3 linked regions of the Astyanax mexicanus genome follow. The protein of the gene in region 1 interacts with the protein of each later gene in a pairwise test. Links are inferred from orthologs where the notes say so. Each region holds a gene or a part of one and is shown on either strand. Other genes may lie near its edges.

Evidence for each region.
Region 2: the proteins of ppih (region 1) and E3 ubiquitin-protein ligase XIAP interact in binary tests that used the Homo sapiens proteins (3 or more experiments, as listed by UniProt). The two-hybrid records come from large-scale screens. The link is inferred for Astyanax mexicanus from reciprocal best matches to the Homo sapiens genes PPIH and XIAP.
Region 3: the proteins of ppih (region 1) and n4bp2l2 interact in binary tests that used the Homo sapiens proteins (3 or more experiments, as listed by UniProt). The two-hybrid records come from large-scale screens. The link is inferred for Astyanax mexicanus from reciprocal best matches to the Homo sapiens genes PPIH and N4BP2L2.

The regions. Positions count from the first base shown.
Region 1 is NC_064419.1:17,955,118-17,962,693, forward strand, and holds the start of ppih (peptidyl-prolyl cis-trans isomerase H), read left to right. Parts: upstream 1-4,553; 5' UTR 4,554-4,670; coding exon 4,671-4,736; intron 4,737-7,576. Other genes in the region: exosc10 (exosome component 10), read left to right, coding at 1-22, 142-203, 306-336. UniProt on the Homo sapiens protein: PPIase that catalyzes the cis-trans isomerization of proline imidic peptide bonds in oligopeptides and may therefore assist protein folding. Participates in pre-mRNA splicing.
Region 2 is NC_064417.1:41,604,810-41,612,653, forward strand, and holds the start of E3 ubiquitin-protein ligase XIAP, read left to right. Parts: upstream 1-4,829; 5' UTR 4,830-4,968; intron 4,969-7,844. Other genes in the region: E3 ubiquitin-protein ligase XIAP-like, read left to right, coding at 1,228-1,720, 2,167-2,357.
Region 3 is NC_064425.1:46,077,437-46,085,083, reverse strand, and holds the start of n4bp2l2 (NEDD4-binding protein 2-like 2), read left to right. Parts: upstream 1-4,608; 5' UTR 4,609-4,732; intron 4,733-5,965; 5' UTR 5,966-6,082; intron 6,083-6,508; coding exon 6,509-7,623; intron 7,624-7,647.

The sequences.
Region 1 (7,576 bases):
GTCTAATGAATTCAGACGGAAGGTACTATTTTTTTTATTTTTATTCTACAATAATGCTATTCATCTCAGTCTATAGACTGCAGTTTAATATTCAGTTTATGAGAGGATGGAGATAAAATAAAACTGTTTATTTTTTCGTAGAAAAACCCAAGAGGACACAGGCAGGGTCCTGGAGGCAGAGGCATGCCTGCCAAGTCCGAAAGGTAATAGAATACATGGATTATTTTGCCGGATTCTTTAAATATTAAGTAGTATTAATTTATACAGCATTGTTGTATGGTATTAATACATTTGTATAATTCCAGAGGATTTCACCACAACTGGCCCAGGAGATAGAAATCTTCGCTGGACACTTGCCCTTTTAAGGGACCTTCTTCTGTCTAAATTGTTGTTGTTTTTTCTTTCCTTTTTTATGTGGGTCATTTTATTAAATTAATTATGGCTTACATGCTACATGATGCTGTACTATATGTTTTGAAAGAACTTTCATTAAATTGAAATTTTAAATGATGTTTTCTTTTTCTGATTTTGGAATTAAAGCTTATTGTGTGTGTGTATATTATAAGTATTATAATACAGATTATTGCACTTTATTGCACCTGTTAATTGAGAGCTTTTAAATTAATCTACCTTTTATATAGTATTTTATATAGAACTTATATACACTGCTCAAAAAAATAAAGGGAACACTCAAATAACACAATATAACTCCAAGTAAATCAAACTTCTGTGAAATTAAACTGTCCACTTAGGAAGCAACACTGATTGACAATCAATTTCACCTGCTGTTGTGCAAATGGAATAGACAACAGGTGGAAATTATTGGCAATTAGCAAGACACACTCAATAAAGGAGTGGTTCTGCAGGTGGGGACCACAGACCACGTCTCAGAACCTATGCTGTCTGGCTGATGTTTTGGTCAGTTTTGAATGTTGGTGGTTCTTTCACACTCGTGGTAGCATGAGACGGACTCTACAACCCCCAGAAGTGGCTCAGGTAGTGCAGCTCATCCAGGATGGCACATCAATGCGAGCTGTGGCAAGAAGGTTTGCTGTGTCTGTCAGCGTAGTGTCTAGAGGCTGGAGGCGCTACCAGGAGACAACAACCGAGCAGCAGGACCGCTACCTCCGCCTTTGTGCAAGAAGGAACAGGAGGAGCACTGCCAGAGCCCTGCAAAATGACCTCCAGCAGGCCACAAATGTGCATGTGTCTGCACAAACGGTTAGAAACCGACTCCATGAGGATGGTATGAGGGCCCGACGTCCACAGATGGGGGTTGTGCTCACAGCCCAACACCGTGCAGGACGCTTGGCATTTGCCAGAGAACACCAGGATTGGCAAATTCACCACTGGCGCCTTGTGCTCTTCACAGATGAAAGCAGGTTCATACTGAGCACATGACAGACGTGACAGAGTCTGGAGACGCCGTGGAGAGCGGTCTGCTGCCTGCAACATCCTTCAGCATGACCGGTTTGGCAGTGGGTCAGTAATGGTGTGGGGTGGCATTTCTTTGGAGGGCCGCACAGCCCTCCATGTGCTCACCAGAGGTAGCCTGACTGCCATTAGGTACCGAGATGAGATCCTCAGACCCCTTGTGAGACCATATGCTGGTGCGGTTGGCCCTGGGTTCCTCCTAATGCAGGACAATGCTAGACCTCATGTGGCTGGAGTGTGTCAGCAGTTCCTGCAAGATGAAGGCATTGAAGCTATGGACTGGCCCGCCCGTTCCCCAGACCTGAATCCGATTGAGCACATCTGGGACATCATGTCTCGCTCCATCCACCAACGTCACGTTGCACCACAGACTGTCCAGAAGTTGGCGGATGCTTTAGTCCAGGTCTGGGAGGAGATCCCTCAGGAGACCATCCGCCACCTCATCAGGAGCATGCCCAGGCGTTGTAGGGAGGTCATACAGGCACGTGTAGGCCACACACAATACTGAGCCTCATTTTGACTTGTTTTAAGGACATTACATTAAAGTTGGATCAGCCTGTAGTGTGTTTTTTCACTTTAATTTTGTGTGTGGCTCCAAATCCAGGCCTCCATTGGTTAATACATTTTATTTCCATTGATGATTTTTGTGTGATTTTGTTGTCAGCACATTCAACTTTGTACAGAACAAAGTATTCAATGAGAATATTTCATTAATTCAGATCTAGGATGTGTTATTTGAGTGTTCCCTTTATTTTTTTGAGCAGTGTAGTAAGTTGTTTCTTATTTTCTTAAATTAGAACCCTCTCAGGTTTTATTTGAAGGTAAGGAAAATATGTTGTATGTTTTTGTATGAAGAAAACTCATGGAATCAATGCCAATTACATTAAAGGGAACATTGTTTTTAAATTGATAAAATGATTAAATACGTTCGGTAAAAACTGAATGGTAAATTATGGGACCTATGCATTAACCCAGAAAAGCTCATGTGACTTATGTATCACAGACCCTTTAAAAGCTGTTCAGTATCTTACAGCAGTCTGTCTATTACTTTAACTTATGAAGTCCGTAAGTGACACAAAGTGGCTTGCAAAAGTATTCATACCCCTTTAACATTTTCTCATTTTGTCACCTTACAACCACAACCCTACATTTATTTTATTGGTTTTAAGTGATGGACCAACACAAAGTAGCACATAATTGTAAAGTCAATAAAAAATTACATTTTAATCAAATAATCTTGTTTGATGTGCAAAAGTATTCAGCCCCCCTATATTAACACTTAGTAGAGCAACCTTTCGCTGCAATTACAGCTGCACATCTTTTGAGGTATGTCTATCAGTTTTGTGCATCTAGAGACTTAGCTCAAGCTTAGTCAGGTTGGATGGAGAGCGTCGATGAACAGTAATAAACATCTCGTCACAGAAGCTCAATAGGATTTAGGTCGGGACTTTGACTGGGCCATTCTAACATATTAATATTCATTGATCTAAATCATTTCACTGTAGCTCTGGCTGAATGTTTAGGGTCACTGTCTTGCTGGAAGGTGAATCTTCTTTCCAGTCTCAAGTCTTTTGCCTCCAACAGGTTTTCTTTTTCAGGATTGCCCTGTGTTGAGCTCCATCCATCTTCCCATCAACTCTCACCAGCTTCCTTGTTCCTGCTAACAGAAGCATCCCCACATCGTGATGATGCCACCACCATGTTTAACAGTGGGGATGGTGTCAGGGCAAAGAGCAGTGTTACTTTTCTGTTACACATAGCGCTTTGCTTTTAGGCTTGTGGCAAACTTCTTATGTTTTTCTTTCAACTATGGTTTTCTTCTTGCCACTCTTTCATAAAGGCAAGATTTGTAGAGCCCCCAACTAAAAGTTGTCCTGTGGACCTGAACTGTGGATTTTTGCAGCTCCTCCACAGTGACCATGGATCTTTTAGCTGCGTCTTTGACTAGTGCTCCCCTTGCTTGATCTGTCAATTTGGGTGGACAGCCATGTCTTTGGTAGGTTTGCAGTTGTAAAATACTTTATTCCATATTTTGATGATGGATTAAACAGTGGTCCTTAGGATGCTCAAAGTAGGAGATATGTTTTTATAATCTAACTCTGCTTTAAATGTCTTCACAATTTTATCTCTGATCTGTATATTGAGTTCCATGGAGTAAAGGGGGCTGAATCCTTTTGCACATCACACTTTTCAGATTTTTATTTGACAAAATTTTGAGTGAATCATTTTTCATTCCACTTCACAATTACGTGCTACTTTGTGTTAATCTATCACCTAAAATCTTAATAAAATATGTTTGTGTGTGGTTGCAAGGTGACAAAATGTACGCCCCATAGATGACATTATTTCTGGAATAAAATGTTAAAAAAAAAATTATGACACTTATGTCATTCACATTACATCATGATTTTAACTTTACAATATTTACAGTCATCTGCCCACAATAAAAAACAAAACTATGAGCAGCTCACTAAATTTATCTGATTCAATTTTGATTGATTTGATTGGTATCAGTTTTAGATTATTATTATTATTTAGAAATTGATATGGGTAACAGGAACTATTATGTAGCTCTGGGGACTTTCCCTGTTATTTAAATAAAGTTTTAGATAAAATTTTTAGTCCTTTCACACTTTAATTCATTAATTTCTGTTGCCACATTTTTTAGTTGGTGGAAGATAATTGGTTCATTTACTTGTCAGACAACAGCCTGAGTAGTGGGAGGGGCTAGGAGTAGGAGCAGAGAGAAAGGAAGAGATTCATGGGGCACAGCTGCTAGACTCCTGCTCAAAACATGTCCAAAATGTGTCCAAAGGGACAGTTAAACCACCTGAGTGACACTTTAAAGCATCTTTCATGAGGTAAATTATGTTTCTGTGCACACACTTTTAGGTTAAATTGTAGGTAAAATTAGGAGTTAAACTATTTGTAGAAAATACACCAGAATGCAGGAAAGGGCTTCTAATTATTAAAAGGAAAATCTCTCCCCCCACGTTTAAAGTAAAAATAAAAACATGTACTGGTCATTTCTGCTTTAAATTGGGGAAAATATTAAATATACCAGCTAGTCTTGAGGCGTTACGAAAATGGTTTTCGGTTTGTCCCTCGTGGAGCCTCGTAGAAATGTCCAGTCGCGCTTGCCGTAGCGGAGCAGTTTGAAACGGGTTCCTGTGTTAGCGTGAAGGAGAGTGAAGTTTCTGTTCTGAAGTTTTTTTAACCTGCAGTTTTACTCCAGAATGAACGTTCAGCCCTCAAACCCCAACAACCCCATCGTCTTCTTCGACGTGACGATCGGAGGGCAGGTCAGTGACTCCAGCAGCCGCCCTGAGCGCGCGAACAGCGCTGCTGCTGCTACTGCTCGAGCTGTGTGAACAGTGTGTGGACAGACTGTGTGTGTGATGTAGTTGGTGCTGTAAAACGTGGTCAGATATCTGAATGGCTTTAAAAACTGAAATGAAAAGTATTAGCTGCTGTATTCAGAGTTCACATTACAAGCCACGTTGCTCAAATCCGATTCTTGCTCAGTTCAGATTCGGTGACGGTTCACATTCACAAATATAAGTGACCTGTATCTGTGCGTAATGTGAATGAATCTGTACATTGATTTGAGAAAAACGTAAACGTCGCCTTCTTCACCACCAACAAAAAACGTCATATTTGAGAGACGACTCGTAGCTTTATAAAGGTGAAATGGATGCGTTTGTCCGCAGCGCATATGTGGAGCATCTTTTGCTGGACCGTTCACATTCTTATTGCATGTCCGTGGATCGGATACGTATCCGATTTAGGATCATATATAAAATTGACTTAAATTTAATTAAAAAAAGGAAATTGGCACGTTCACACAGCTATAAAAACACTATATTTGAGTCACTTCAGTTCAGTTTTAATGTAAACGTAGCCTTATAGGAGTTCCATAGAATCACCAGCGCAAACAATGTGAATCGTTTAATATGGTCAATAAACTGGTCTTTATTTAGACTAGACTTACCTGTTCTAATACTAGAATCGTAGAGACAGTGGCTAACTTATTTATTATAATTATTAATTATATTATTATTATTATTATTATTTCATTATATTTACATTTATTTTATTTTCGATTTTTATTTAAATGACAGTTTGAATCAGTAAAAGGGAAAACAAACTCACAGTACACAAAAATACAAGGAGCAAAATTAAATATTTTTTCATGTACAAATATACCTTTAGTCTTTTTGTTAGGTCAAGGTATAAATACATGTATAAATTATTATTACTAAATAAAAAGGTCTGAGGTTTTCCATTTACAGATGAGAATGATATGTACCCAAAATTATAATGACATTAATTCTTATTCTAGTCGTATCTTAGTGTTTTCTGGTCCGCCTGCTCTCTGTAGCACATACTATCTTTCACCTGTAGATGGCGCTGTTGCGACAGTTTCAGTTGTTAATCTGAATGCATTTAAATAGGTTTGTTGACCCATTCACTCCATTATAAACTGTTTTATAAATAGATATATCAATACAATTTTAAAAATGAAGGCTGAAAAAAAAAAAATGTTAAAAATAATTACACAGCAATAAAGGGCAACATTCACTGAACCTCTTAACAAATATACAGTTAGGGCCATAAATATTTAAACAGTGACAAAATGCTCTTAATTTTGTTTCTGCATGCCACCACACTGGATTTGAACATCTGAACTGTAATTAAACTTAATTGAATTTCAGATTAAATTCAGGGGGTTAAACAAAAATATAAATATAATTTATGAACTTTACCATTAATAAAATGTAAGTTTTTTATCTTTTGTTGAGAAACATTTTCAAGCAATGACTGCCTGAACTCTGGAACCCATGAACATCACCACACACTGGGTATTTATCCTTTATGATGCTTTGCCAGGCCTTGTCCTGCAGCTGTCTTCATTTCTAGGCATCTCTTCCTTTAGCTGTCATGATAATTATCGTACATTATCATATATTTTCCTCAACAGTGCAGTTCTAATCATAAATGTGCCTCACCAGTGCGAGTCTAATCACATATTTACCTCAACTGTGAATTCAACTTAAACTAAGCATAGGTGGTGCGAAATGCTTTGTTTAATTTCATTTGTGAGTAGAGCATATAATGAACTTGAACCTGCAGTTTGTTTGCTCACTGCATTGTAAATAGCAGGTCTCTTATCAGCCCGGGGGAGGTTTTGGTGGTGTTTGGGTGTGCCGCTGCTGCTGCAAAAATCCTAAAGTAAAGAAGAAATGCTGCACCCCCATATTTAACTTACTTAAATTTGTTATATGGAAAACAAAGTAGTTTTTTTTTCTTCCTTTTTTGACCAGATCAATTAGTTTACCCAACGTTTTTTGCATCTCTTGTTATTTCCTTGTTTAAATTATTTCAGCTTACAATCACTACAGAAACTGTGGAATGGGGGGCCTGCAGGGCAGAGAAATTTCAGAGTATTCATCCCTCTGCTAGACCTGTTGAGCAGGAAATTTGGGGATGGGTTCATGAGGATGTCTCTGTTTACATCTGTAGTCAGTGTCTGTTTGATGTTCATATAACTTTTAAATACACAGTACTAGTTCCAGTATTCAAAAAACACCCCAAACTCTTACATGCTTTATAAATAAAGCATTAAAAAGTATTGGAACACCATCTTATTTAATGTTTTTTCCAAAATCCAAAAGAGAGTTTATCCTGCTTTTTCTGAAGCAACTGGCTCTTTTGTCCAGAGACGGCCTTTTACTCGATTTTTATTTTTACAATTAAGGCTTTGATTGCATTCAGTGGTAGTGAAGTCAGAATGTTGGATGATCAAAAGCACACTTAAAAACGTGTAGGCTTTTATTATATTAATATAATTGTATTATATTTATTATATCCCATTCACCTATATTGGCAAATTACTGTGTGTATGTATACAAACATAAATCAGATAAAAATTCAGTCTGTATCACTAGATCCTTATTTTTAGGTCATTCCTACACTTGTATATTAAAAACCTAATAGCATAGTAGTGCATTTATACCCTTTTAAAAAGCAGCAAATGTTTAATTAATAATAGTGTAGAAGTTATTTACATTTATTTTTTTCTGTGAAATATTTTTATTATTTAATGTCCTCAAGAACACATATTGTAAAAAGGCTAAAATAT
Region 2 (7,844 bases), on another chromosome or scaffold:
TTCCTGAAGCTGCTGCCAAAAGGAATTAAACAGGGGAATCCCACAAGGAAGTTAAATCTCAACCCCTGTAGACACCCACACAATGTTTATTAACAAAGTATCTTTCTATAAATGTTATTTATTATTACTTTGTTTTATTAAGTGATTCATTTCAAATAATTTGTTAACGATTGTGCAGTTCGTGGGTCCATGTGCCATGAAGCGCTTTAAGTTGGTTTGTGGTCTCTGTTTTTCTCTTTTAACTGATTTATTTCTGCACATCTATTTTATGATGATTCAAATTTATGATTTTATATGTTTGGTTTGTACTAAACATTATTTACAGTAAATATGTATCTTCTTATGGCCTGTACTGTGTTCTTGCAGAGTAGAAAGTTGCAGAGTTAAATAATAATAATTATTAATATTAATATTATTATTTGTGGGAAGTACCATTCTCCTAAAAGTGAATATTGAGTGAATATTTAGAGAACAAATCATTCAAAACCTTTAAATAAATTTTGATTCAATGTCAGAATTGCAACATTAACCGATTACTATTAGGCATAGTTAAAAAATATTGTTTTATGGTTGTTGTTTTTTTATTATGTTTATTTAATGTTCTTTGCTATTAGGGTCTGACCCAGTCACCTAACCATCACAATTGGGCCTGTCAGAGTCATTTGGATCTTCACACAGTACACCCACTGCCTAATACTGTATATATACCCTTCATCTTTTACTTTTACGAGTACTATTGTTATGTTTTCAATACACATGTAACACGGTTCAAAGACATAAAACACAAAAAATAGTAATTTTGATTGTTTTACATGGGCAATTCTTGAATTGCTGTGGAAGCATGAATTTTTCATTATTAATTGTCAGAAAAAAAGACAGAGGCCGTTTCTATCAGACCATCCCAGTAAACACTTCTTCTGATTGTCAGACAAAGCATGTGGGTGTTCCCATGGGGCGTCACTTTCTCTTTCTTATTATTTAGCTAGAGCTTTAACAACAGTGCATTCATTAGAGCAGAGGAAGTGGTTTTATATATATCTGACGGATCTCCAGAAGGTATGTTAATGCAAAAAAAATCTAAATGCCTATTTCAGTTTTCAAAATTACTAGTTTAATAAATTAGTAAATTCAACTATGTTACCTTTTATTCGGGATGTGAATGGGTTGTATGTTTTAACAACCAATTTAGTGCTATCTGTTTCTCTTATTTAGACACACACTGTGACAATGGCTGATTTCAACACTGCTGGCACACTCGAAACCCATGATGGATCACAGGACTTGTCCTGTTTTAATAGTAGGAGGAACCTCATAGGTGATCATTCCTCTAAGGCCAGCAGTTCCAATCAAGAGGCGAAAGCCATCAGACTCCACAAAGGAGAGATTGTGAATGAGTCCCCCTACCCGAAAGTGCCACACATGAGGAGTGAAGAAGCCCGGCTGAGGACGTTCAGCAACTGGCCCTCCTCGTCCCCGGTCCAGCCCAATGACTTGGTGGGGGCTGGGCTGTTTTATGTGCCTAAACCAACCATAAATGACCTGGTGCAGTGCTTCTGCTGTGGAGGCATACTGAAAGCCTGGAAGGAAGGTGATGTTCCCTGGAGTGAACATTCCAAGTTCAACCCAAACTGCTTCTTTATCTTGGGGCATGATGTGGGGAACATACTGATGGAGCTGAAGAGTGATAGCAGTAAAAATGTATTCTCAAATAAAGAGAGAGGTAAGAAGATTTGAAATGCACATATTACAAATAATGAGCATAATCAGCATAATGTAAAGTCTTTGTCCAGTTTGTCCAACTGTGCCAGGGCATAGGGCACAATACACAATATATAATTTCAGCAATTTTTGCAGCTTGATATTAAAGTAAAATGCACACTGTTCTAATTTTCTATGACAGACTTGTATTATTATTGTGAAACCAGAACACAATTGTTTTAAGAGTATTTGCAATAGGATAAACATGAATTTAGGACAATAATGCTCAGGCATGGTACAGGGCAACCAGGTTTAGTGTGAGTACACCTTAGGTTTTTTAATATGTTGTTGCCGTGCATTTTTATATGATTTTTCTATGAAGTGATGTTATTTGTAAATTATCTTTAGAAAGGTTATACTGTCTCATGTTCTTTTGTAAACAGTGTTTTTTTTCCTTATGTGTTGCAGATGAGGACCCTTTAAAGACACTGGAGAAGCTCCAGCGTGAAAAGCTCTGCAAAGTTTGCATGGATAATGACCGTTCCATTGCCTTCATCCCATGTGGGCACTTGGTCACCTGCAGAAAATGTTCCAATTCTGTTGAAAAGTGCCCTGTGTGTTGTGCTTTCATCACTCAGAAAATCAAAACCTATAGCTAAGATTCCACTTTGACACAAAAACTATTATGATGTGAATCATTAACAAGTATTCCTTACAATTGTGCATATGGATATATTTGGATATAATACTTGTATAATTATATATATAAATAATTATGTGGTTTTATATTTTATTCTGCTAATTTTGCTACTTTATTGTCAGCCCACATAAACATAAGTCTTTAGTTTTCTGCTGTTCTGAGAGATGTGTAGTGTGTCGTCAGTGGGTAGTTTATGCTAGATTTTACAGGCAGATTAAAGTATTTGTAGGTAGGTAGATTTCTGTTGGCCTGATTTCAGAGCATGGCTACCCACACAATGATGAAATGGCATACTCTACATAAAACTATGAATGTTGTTTCCAGAAAATAAACTGCAATCAAACTTTAGCTTTCCTGAAGCTGCTGTAAAAGGGATTTGAATCACATTACAGGGAGTGTATATTTTGAGCACAAGAAAGTTTATTCTGTAGACACCTGTAGACACCTAGGCTGTGTTTATTGACATAGTCATATTAATCATATTAACACATTTAATCACTTTGTTTTATTAAATGATTTATTTGAAACACTGTGTTTTTGTACTAATAAAATAGGGTTTTGTAAATAGGAGCTGGGGTTATTTGTTTGGGTTAGCCTATTTCTCTCTTTTTACTGCTTTTTTCTTTTTCTAACACTTCCATTTAACCACAATATGTATATTAAACCGTCTATGTCAAAGGTACACCTGAAACATCTGTGGAAGCATGAGTTTATCATTATGACTTTTGCATATTAACATAATTTTTTTTTTCTCATTTGTTTTTTTTTTCTTTTGTATAGAGGGCACATGACTGTAATATTTTAAGTTTAAAATCCAATAAATCCATCACTTGTGTTATAAAACTGTGTCTGTGAAACATTTTATTTAGCATTTAAGGGTGATTTCACACCTACTTTCTACTGACTTTCAGACTTTTCAGTTTACAACCAAGCTCTGGATATACTGAACTATGGTCCAGTTCATCTGCAGTGTGAAAACACTTTTCTAAATGGTTCAACCTTTTAGATCAATTACAGGAAGTTGGTGTTGTGCCGACTCCACTTGGCATTCAGCCATGCAGTATGGACACTGTTTTACTTCCATAATGCAGCAGTATGGACACAAACGCAAACAGAAATATATAGATTTTTTTGCTATTTACAGTGAAACTTTAAAGGGGTATATTTTGTAGAATATGTTACATTTAAAGTTTATACACATGCTACTATACTTCACGTACGTGAATCCAAAGGACTACAGGACTCTTTTTTTCTTTTTCTTATTTTATTAGACCCTCAAGGATTCAAGGATTCAGTAAGACTTTATTGTCATTCGCATCACGTGGTACATGAGGTGGAACAGAAATGTTATCTCACAGCTCAGTTCCACCCAAAAGAGCAATTGTAATGTAGATAAAATAAAATAAGAATAAAATATTTAATTGAAATAGATAGCAAGATAACTACACATAACATAAAGGGAAGTAGCAGCAGCATAAAACAAGTGCAAGTACTTAAGGCTTGATAAAGTGTAACAGTACTCTTTAATCCTTGTTCTGTGACATGACATATATATCTCATATATTTGTATGTTCTTTCAACAATAAAATAAAATGTCTGTTTTTTTTGGATATTTTATTTAGTTTTAGTTTGAACATAAAACACAACTAATACAATACTAAAAAAAATGTAAATAAAAGAAATTGACATTTTTTCTGATAGGACATACAGTATAATATATTTATACATATACATATAGTATAAATACAATTAATACAAATATGGTTAACCTAGTGTACAACTAACATATATATAGTCAACGATAAAATTTAAAGAGATCTTACATCACCATAAATCAATGGGTCTTTTCAAATGAGTCTTTTTTAATATAGTCAAAGAAGGGCTGCCATACCAAAATATTTCCAATTTGTTTCTTAAATGGTAGGTGATCTTTTCTAGGGGTATACAAAGGTTAATTTCAGAAATACATATATTTTAACAAGATTTCAGTGAGCCTTATGGTGCAACTTTTTTTTTTAATTACCCAATAGTCAAACTTCTGAACCTATTGGAAAAAAGATACCAAGAATCTCAGATAACATATTACAAATTTTCTGCCAGAAGTCATGTACTTTAGGGCATGACTATGTACAGTGAGGGAAAATACCATCAGTAACACCACATCTGTAAGAAAGGGGGGGACACCTTTGAATTTAAAGTGTGCAGCTTAATTGGAGTATAATAAAGTTGGTGTAGGAAATTAGATCGAATCAGTCTTAAGCTTGTGGTAGATGTGATCCCTATAAGATCTCTATAAAGATCTTCACACAAATTTTGATCTATAGCCAAACCCAGTTCTTTTTCCCATTTAGTTTTGTATCTATAAAAAAGGTCTGCTTTAGTGTGAGAGACACACACTAGTCACTATGGTCCATAAAATCGTGTGGGCGTGGCTAATTGTTCCTTCCGCTTTTCTGTAGCTAGCTGGTGGCAGTATAAGAGCAGGATAGAGGAAGGGAGGCAGTCTGTCTGAAAGTTAAACCTTGTGAACGGCAGAATAGGACTGGATTCATCTGACTGGTCTCCTGAAGGTACGTTGACACTAAAACGGTTGCTTTAGTGACTTTAAATGCCGCTAAATCGTTTACGCTAGTTCTAGCTTAGCTAAACTAGCTTAACGTTAGTAGCTAGCTAACACAGCTGCTACAACAACACTGCAGACAGACCGAAGGTCGAAACTCCGTGTCTCTGGTGATTAATCGATCACAACTCGAACAGTTTTGCTTTTTAGGTTCACAGGCAGAAAACAGGGTGGTTTATCTTGCTAATTAAGCTCCGTTTAAGGTCAGCTGCTCTTTGTTGCTGCAGTCTAGCAGGTCTCTTAGTATCCTAACGTAACTAGCTAGCTAACGCTAGGTTAGCTGTGTCAACCAAGGGTGTTTTTGTCATGGTGTCACCTCTAGAGCTAGCTAATCTGGTTACATAGTAGTAACTTAGTAGTAGTAGTAGTAGTAGTAGTAGTAGTAGTAGTAGTAATAATAAAGATATTTAGCGAATGTGTTTAATAATGTGAATATGTGAATGTGAAGTTCTACCCATGGTGGTAATGACAGGTGGTAGCGAGCTAACTATCCTACGAGCGAGCGAGCGAGTGAGTGGGGAAAAGTCCAGAAAAGTCATTGTAGACCGCAAACTGGAAAGCGAACTAGGTGCGTCCCCAATTGCTTAGTTGTGGGTTTGTTTAATGTTAATTTATAGCTCTACGTTTGGAAATTACTGGACTGATTTCCCCCCAAAATTCTGTACATGAATGGTGGGTAAGATGGTCCTAAAACATTATCACGATACTTCAGGGTATTTGCGCAATAACCATAATTTTAATGATATGACAAGGGAATTAAAAAAAAAAAAAAAAAAATATATATATATATATATATATATATATATATATATATATATATATATATATATATATATATATATATATATATATATGTAATAAATTAATGTTCAACAATATACTACTGCAACAATATACATGAAAAGTTTTAAACCTTCAACAAATCTGTAACTATTCTCCATTATGTAACAGTAACTTTCCAAGATTTTGAATATTCTTAATGTAACAAACAGTAACACAAGTAACAAAAAAAACTACCAAATACTAAAGTGCAGATTATTTAGTGCGTGTATAAATTTTGAATGTAAACTATCATACAGAATATACCACTATAAAGTTGCACTGTAAATAGCAAAAAACTCAAAACAAAACAACAACAGAAGAATAGCACTATTATCACAATATGAATTGATAGGGATTTTTAAAATTTATTTAAAAAAAGATACAAGATATGGCAAAAACCGACTAAAACTTCTATATAACTGCTAGCTAAATAATTTTGTGAATGTTCCAGTTTTATTATTCATTAAATACATCACTTGCTTCTGTCCAATAAACAAATGTGTATCTTCATTTGAACCATGTAGCTGCTGTGTATACTGTGTAAATATTTCTGAATGAATGGACTACTAGAAATGCTTTAAAATTACTCATTTTACATTAACTTTCATTTAGAGTTAAGGACATTTTTGGCCTTTCCTGTAAAATCACAATTTAGGAGAGACAGGTTTCACAATTTAGGAGGGACATTCATAGCTATTAACACATCTGATGTAAAATGATTTTTAGTGTTTTTGTAATGCACAGCTAAAGAAATAGTCTGTTCTATAATACACAGCTCTTTTGGGTTTTGTGAGCCTGTGCAGAACAGGGCGGGTTCTGGTAGCTTTGATAGAAATGCATAGAAAAGGATTACAATAAGAATTACAATACAGTAGATTGAAAGGCCACACCTGTGTTTAAGAGTGCTAGATCTTATTGTTAAGCTGTTACTCAACATCTGTCCATCAATCACTTGGATGGCCTGATGGTATCGGTTTATTACCTCACTATGCAGATAGTGATGCTGGTGCTATGTACAGTATGTAGCACCGGTATGTTATCAATTTTTGCTTCGCCTCATGGTTGAGAGTGGGCGAAGCATATTAAAGTTAATAAGTGTGGGTGTAAACGTTTCCTGTGCTGTTCTAGAACTCTTAGCACATGCTGAGGGTGAGGCGTGCCTGTGACCATATACTTCTCCAGGATTTAAGTAATATCCCTGAATAATATGTGTTTAGACTTAAGAAGCCTGAACTTATGTTTGATTCAGTGTATCTATTGGTGAAAGCAATATTTTTGCCATAAAGCTACAGTTAGGGCCATATACCTTCATTACTGTAAAATGATAAAATTCCCATACTAAAATTGAAAGTTATGTTTTGGGGCAGGAAATTCCTCCCAAAATGAATGCACAATACACTACATAAAAAGGCCACACCCTTGTTTGAGGGTGCTGGATTATAATTGCTAGGCTGTTACTCCACATCTCTCATTTCAAACAGGCTAAAGGTGCTGGTTGGTTACGCAACATCACTATGCAGATAGTGATCCTTGTGTAAAATATATGGTATGAAACACCCTTCTATTTTTTTAATGGCATCACATATGAAATTAACTAGCCTAACTGTTTGGATGTAATCCTGTGTCAGATTTAATGCGTCTTTTGCTGAAAGCACAATTTATTTATTTTTTTTGCCTTAAAGCTACACCTTTGGCGATGTCTTTACTGTAAAATGTGGAACTTTCCCTACTGAAATTGAAAGTAAAATTTTACTGTTAAATATGACTTCATTGCTAGATTGAAACCTCACTTTGTAGCTGTAACCAGGGAATGCCCCTCTTGCTGCACATTTTGTTCAATCTTCATAACGAAAAAGAAACTTATAATAAATGTATACAAAACATGCCAAAAATTTAGTTAAATTACCTCCAGGATATCTGTGTGGGGCCTTTTACATAGAATGTGGTTTTGATATCGTCCAGAGTCTGTCTGTCTTGCGTGCGTTGTCAGAAGCCATAGATCAC
Region 3 (7,647 bases), on another chromosome or scaffold:
TAATGGTAGATCAGAATTTATATAACCCCATTAACGCCTCTCTTAGTTTACCACAATTATGTAGAATGTAATGTGGAATAGCTATAAGAATAAGAAACACACTTAACACTTAAATTAAAAATAAATAAGCAGCTGATGAACACTGTAACAATTTGCAACAGAGGCAGCACTTAAGGTGGAATACACAAAATAAGTGAATTTAGCTGTTTATTCTCTACCTTAGAGATGGTGCAATGGTTTGGTCCAGGCATCTGTAACAGCTTCACTGTTTAAAGTGTAATAAAAATGACAAATAAACCAAAGTTAGTAAGTTAAAATGGAATAGTAGGGTATTTTTAGAGTCTATTGTGTGTTTGGTGGAGTTAAATGAATATACAGTGTAAAACTATTAGTTCACTATTTTTCTGCTCAAAGTTTGGTTTAAGTATGTTTAAGAAGCTTTTAAGATTGTGGAGAACAGTTGTGCACCTATAATTATGTCTTTGGCTCTTAGACTATTTAATAAAAATCCAGCCTTGAAAAGAATGATCACAGGTTTACCTGACTGCTGTTTGTGCACTTTATCTTGTCTTTTTCCACTTTTCATGTCCTAAAAATAGTTTTGTTTCATCTTTTGATTGATATGAGGGAAAACAGCGTAACGAGGGTCCAGGACGGTCTGGCTCTGCTGAAATGAAACCTGTATCCTGTGATCTAATTGAGATGGTTTATAATAAGAGATCAATCTAGCAAATACTCACAAAAGGGTCCACGGGCAATATATTGTAAACATATTTAAAACCATTTTATATATAATTAAAAAAAAATAGTATGGCTGCTACGCAGGTTACCATTTGAATCTGATTTATTTCCAAAAATATAGTATATAGGTACATAGGTTAGTGTGGAAATGGTGTACAATTCTATGCAAATATTTGTAGAAACATCGTAACTAAAGGAGCAGAATAACAACTTTATTTCATCATCTCAAACGACTTAATCCAGCGCAGTTTATTAAATCAGTTAAAGGTCTGCTTAGATACACAATTAGCTATTTACTATTTAAACATACCATATGTGTTAAATTTAGTGTTATAAAAATACTGATAATTAAGGTTAAGGTTTCATCATATTGAGTCAAGCAGGAGGAAAGATCCACATGAGCAGCATGTTTTCAAAGAAGCTCTTTATTAATGGCTTACTGTTGCTTAAAGCACTGGAGAGTGAAACCAACTACAACACAATCGTAGAAACACCACAAAGCCATTCCATGGTAGATCACTGTCCGTCGTGCCAGTCACCACAATTTCATATCATATTGATATATTTCATATATCAACATTTCTCTGCCACATATTGAGACATGAGTTTTATTATTTTACCTAGCCTTACTACCATTACAAGTCAAAATATAATTATGCTATCAGTTAGAATAAATGCATCCAAGGCAGTTTTCCCAATCCTGATCCTGTGGCTGCTTCCCTCTTCCTGCTCCAGGCCGTTTGTGGTATGACACACTGTGCAACCTCGGTTTGGTTTGGAAAGAACTTTTGTTTGTGCTGGTTTTCTTAGCTTTAAACCATCTGGATATGAAATGATTCTACATGCTGAATTTGATAATGTGGTTTTGGAGTGACCAAGCTTGCATATGTTCCAGAAACAGCACTAAATTCTCACCACAGCCCACTCAGCCGGCTCATTGTGTTTACTTTTTCAGCAGATTTTAGTAAAACCAATGTAAACAAACTCAAATTTTCTAATATATACAGTAAATAGGCTCTTTTTGTGAGCACAGCAAACTACTAATCTAACACAAGGGTGTATTTTAGGGACTTCCCAGAGCTATATACCTCTCTGCAGACCAGGTCACAGGGGCACTGAGGAGACTTCGCTCAAGGAAATCAGCTGGACCTGACGAGGTGAGCCCAAGACTTCTCAAGGCTTGTGCCTTTGAACTTGGATAACCCCTGTCGAACATCTTCAACATGAGCCTGCAGTTGGGGAGGGTTCCAACGCTGTGGAAAACCTCATGCCTGGTCCCTGTTCCCAAGAAACCTCGTCCCGGTGAGATCAATGACTTCAGGCCGGTAAGACTGTTTCTCCCCCTTTGCATATCGGGAGAAGATTGGTGTTGAGGATGCCATTATCTACCTCCTCCACCGAACCTATTCTCATCTTGACAAGGGCAGTAGTGCTGTGAGAATCATGTTTTTTTTATTTCTCCAGTGCTTTTAACACCATCCAGCCTCCACTTCTCAGAGACAAGCTGGTGAAGATGCATGTGGATCCTCACCTGGTGTCCTGGATCACAGACTACCTCACCTGCAGACCACAGTATGTGAGGCTCACTGACAGTACATCTGAGACTGTGGTCAGTAGCACTGGAGCACCACAGGGGACTGTGCTCTCCCACCTTCCTTTTCACTCTCTACACATCAGACTTCCAGTACAACTCTGAGATGTGCCATCTGCAGAAATTCTCGGATGACACTGCCATTGTTGGGTGTGTCAAGGGTGGTCAGGAAGAGGAGTACAGGAGACAGGTGGATGACTTTGTTGCTTGGTGCCGACTGAACCAACTGCAGTTGAACATATCCAAGACCAAGGAGATGGTGGTGGACTTTCGTAGGTCTGGACTACCCTTGCAGCCAGTCTCCATCGAGGGGGTTGATGTGGAGACAGTAAAGACCTACAAGTACCTTGGTCTGCTGCTGGACGACAAACTGGATTGGTCAACAAATACAGGCACCCTTTACAGGAAGGGACAGAGTCGGCTCTATTTCCTGAGGAGACTGCGGTCCTTTAACATCTGTAAGAAGCTTCTGCAGATGTTCTACCAATCAATCGTGGCCAGCATTCTCTTCTACGCTGTGGTGTGCTGGGGAGGCAACATGAAGAGGAGAGATGCATCACGACTGGACAAGCTGGTCAGGAGGGCCGGGGCAGTGGTTGGAATGGAGCTGGACTCTCTGGTTACAATAGCTGAGAGAAGGACTTTGGATAAACTGCTTTCTATCATGAACAATGATAGTCACCCACTTTACACCACCATCATGAAGCAGAGGAGTGTGTTCAGTGGCAGACTGCTGTCACAGAGCTGCACAACAGACAGACTCAGAAAATCCTTCATCCCGAGAGCCATCAGACTCTTTAACTCCTCCCATCGGGGACGGGATGCTGCTACTGACTGAGTTTAATCCAGTCACACCACATGGACATTATTCAACCACTTAATTATTTACACTAACACTTCCCCAACCTCACTTACATTCAAGTACATTTTACTCATGATTGGGTATTCACATTTTCACATTCTCTTTTTAGAACTAAATTTGTTACAGATGCATATTTATATTATATTTCTATGTCACATCAGTCACTTTCATGATCAAAGTCATTGCACATTGCACTTTGCTCTGTTATTTATTGAATTATTTAATGACCATTAGCAACATCTACTGCACTGCTTATTGTATTGTGTTGTTGCTGCTGGATGCCTAAATTTCCTTCGGGATAAATAAAGTATCTATCTATCTATCTATCTATCTATCTATCTATCTATCTATCTATCTATCTATCTATCTATCTATCTATCTATCTATATGCAGAGATGTGTCATTATTTTGTTATAATCACAATATTCTTAACCTCGATTTTCAATGGAGCAATGAATAGGGTTTTAAAAGAAAACCTCTAATTCTGGGATAAATTATTATTTTCACAACTGTTTTATTTTGTGTGTGTTTTTCTCCTGTACATCACTGGATCTACTAAGGATTGAGCAACTGAGGTCACATGGTGTGTAAAGGAGATGTATGGTCACCAACCAGATAACCTGACCTAGAGAGGTGGTGTATATGGAGAAGAGAAGGGGTGCCAGTACCGAGCCCTGGGGAACCCCAGTGGATAATGAGTGGGCTGAGGACATCTACTACTTTCATTCACACTTCATTTGACTCTTAGGCGCTTTCTTCCTCTCACACAAGTTGGAATATGCTGAAAAAGTAATATATGCAGCTAAACTAGTGTTTATTTCCTTCAATAAAGCTCTCAGTTAAGCTGAGTGACTCAACACATTAAAACATTCTCATTATAAAAGCATCAAAGGCTACACTGAGATATTATATAATAAAGTAAAATATCTAGCCAGGCATTTTTTAGATCATTTTTTAAGAAAAGATGCATATTTACATAGCAATCATTCATATGGCTATCTAGTACTTGTTTATTTTCTACTTAAAATGGTAAGTTTTGATACTAATATTAAACATGAATTACAAAAACCTTAGTGGACAGTTTGAATGTGTTCTTTCTTTTTTTATTTTATCTTGGTCTTGTTATTAGCAGATATTCAAAACCAACTGACTCAAAATCTTTGGGACATTCAAATAGTTTCAATTAAAAAATCTCTACTTGCCAATACTGAATATATCAATATAGTGATATCATGTACAATTATATTAATTACTATTAAATTGTTGTTTAATTGTGCGATTCATATTTTTTGATTGATAGTATTTTCTTTTCTTTACATATTTTATTAATTGATAAGCGTGTTTGTTTGTTGAGTTTTTTCATTATACAGTATTTCTCGTTGTGTTTTACACTGGAGCTTTTATTTTGACATAGACCGGAAACAAACGGAAGTCTCAGTGTTTTGCCCGGTTTAGCCTGTTTTAGTTTCGGATTCAGTAAAGAATTGAAGATCTGTGGAGCTTTTACAGCGAGGTTACAGTCTCCTGCTGCTCACTGGGTATGAGACATGTGTGATTAGTTAGTGTTATTTAGTATTATTTGGTGTTATTTAGCGCTATATAGTGTTAGCTAGTGAACAGCAGTGTGAACGCTGCTAAAGCTAACTAGCTAATAACTAGCCGCGCTAATGATCGGATTTACTGGGCGGGTTTAGGGTTTTTGAAAAACACAGATTTTGTCTGTCTATTTGTTAGACTGTCAGTCTGTTCATCGGTCTGTTTGTCTGTCAGTCTGTTTGGACAAAATAGCAGATACGTAGTCAAATAGTTAGCTAGCTGATTTAAGTGCCAGTAATTGCGATTGTTTTCTGTTTAATTTTTAATACTTTATCTTATTCGAGCTTTAGCTGTTGAGTATATTTTATAACAAAGATGCTAAAACCCACAACACATTAAAATACTTATACAATCTGATTACTGCCATGTGCAACACATCTTTATTCACCATGTGTAATATCACTGCTTATTCACTACTTTTTTTTATCTTTATTTACTGTGAACCTGAGCAGTATCACTGATCACTGCATACCAGTCAAAAGTTTGGACACACCTTCTCATTCAGTGTTTTTTTATTTCTTTATTTCTTGTATTTTATACATTGTAGATTAATATTAAAACATTAAAACGATCAATGGACACATTGAATTACGTAGTAAAGAGTATAAAAGTGATATTCCTCCACATTAAAAAACCTGATGAACTGAGATAGCAACAGCTATTGTTCAGCACCTCCAGCACTCCACTTGGGGACACATTTAAAGTTTTTGCGATTTTCCGGACTGACTGACCCTCAATTTTAAAGTAATGTTGGCCACTCGTTTTACTTTAGTTAGCTGATTGGTTCTTGGCATAATATGTATTTTAACAGTTGTCCAATAGGGCCGTCGGCTGTGTAGTAACCTGATTTCTGCACAACTGGTCCCAACCCCATTAATAAAGCAAGAAATTCCACTAATTAACTAATTAAAAGGCACACCTGAAAACCAATTCAGGTGTCTACCTCTTGAAGCTCATTGAGAGAATGCTAAAAGTGTGCAAAGCAGTAATCAGAGCAAATGAAACTAGAATATAAGAATATATATATATTTGTATTTTATATTTGAAAAAATGTGCTGCTTTCCACAATTCATATGGTGATACATGTTGAATGTGTTTCCCTTTGTTATCTATTGCAAATTTTTTATCTGTGATTATGATTTTATTGATCTTGTTATTGTTTGCTCTCTGAATAGACTTGTGGAGTATCCAGTAGAAGACAGTAACTTCTATATCCGGGTTTAATATAGATTTTCAGGCGTCCACTGTAAAGATGGCTGCTTGACCTCTTGAAATGCAAACAGTTGTATTCAGTAAGTATATTTAAATATCTGTATATAATTTATTTGTGTTCTGTGTCAAACCTTTCCTTGTTTTTGTTTGCAGTAAAGGGTATCTTCTTGCAGACCTCCCATAAAAAAAAAAAATTTGGTTTCTTTTTAAAGGTAGATGCGACATTTTGTTATAATCTGTTATAAACTAAAAGCAACAAATTGGTCCTGTGATGATGTTTTAGGGTTTATGGAACTTCTTTTTGTATGCATCTTTTGTTCTGTTCTTGAGCTGAATTTGCTACGGCGATCTGGCCATGCTTATCACACTAGCCTAGAAATAGTAGTGTAGATCACTAATTAACATAATGAAAACTTTTAGGTGTTGAGTATTAAATGGAGGATATTATGAATTACTTTATACGCACTTATTAATACTAAATCTGTATTAATTATCATTCTTTACAGATGCCTCATGTTACTCCAGTCAAATCTTCTTCTACACCTTTGGGTGGAAATGTAGAAGAAGGCTCTCAGCACCCGCAGACACAAAATCCTGGTCAATCTGCCCCTGAGATACAGCGGATGCATACACCACATGCAGTAACCTACAGGAATAATTCAGTGGGCAACGCTAACCGCACTAGGCCTTTACCTTATCCTGTACTTCTCGGACAGCTGAACATATTGGACAGTGCCAATGTTGTGGAGGTGAATCAGAATTTATTAGAATTACCAGCACAAATCTTAAAAGATAATATATGTGAAGAGGAAATCTCAGGGGTTGATGCAGAAGAACGTAGCTATGAGAGGAGCAGAGAAGAAGTCATTAAAGAAATCGCTGTCAGCAGCACTGCTTTCATCGGCCCGGCGTGTCGACCCGACGCAGCAATAGAGAAGGAACTGAGTGATTTTTACAAAGAGCTTGAGGAGTTTGACCACCATGACAAAGTTGATGGAGTTGATGGAGAATTAGTAGTCACAGAAGGTCTTTCTCGGTTATGTGAACCAGAAACCAATCCATCTCCCAGAAAAGAGACTCGGGAAAATGATCACAAGAGTGCGTATAGGCCTTATCCAGCTACTCGACCTCAAAGAGACTATGAAAATTCTAGGACATGGAAGCCTCAACCACATAACGAAATTACATGGAACGGTCCTGATGCAGCAAACAGCCATCCAAGTCAGTGGCAACATCTTCCACCACCAAGGCTTCCACATGACCCACCACGATTTCCAATTCCTGGCCGCCGTCATTTCTTACCTCCACCCCCACCTATACCTCAGACTCCTACACCACCTCTGCATCTCCTGCCTCCTATTAACAACTACAGTCACCATGACACCAACAGCTGGTGCTCCTGGGAAAGGACCAATTTTCCTCTTCGTAATGACATCAGACTTTCTGCATCAAACTGCCCTGAGTCATTTGAACAGCGAGGAAGAGGTTCAGCTGACTGGCAGCCATATTATAAGACACAGCATTATCACGAGCGAGATCAGTACCAGCGTAACAGTGGCACGTCTCCGGTTTTGATTTTGATGAGAGGACTTCCAGGCTGTGGGAAATCAACTCTGGCAAAGTGAGTTTTCAGAGCGGCTGTACA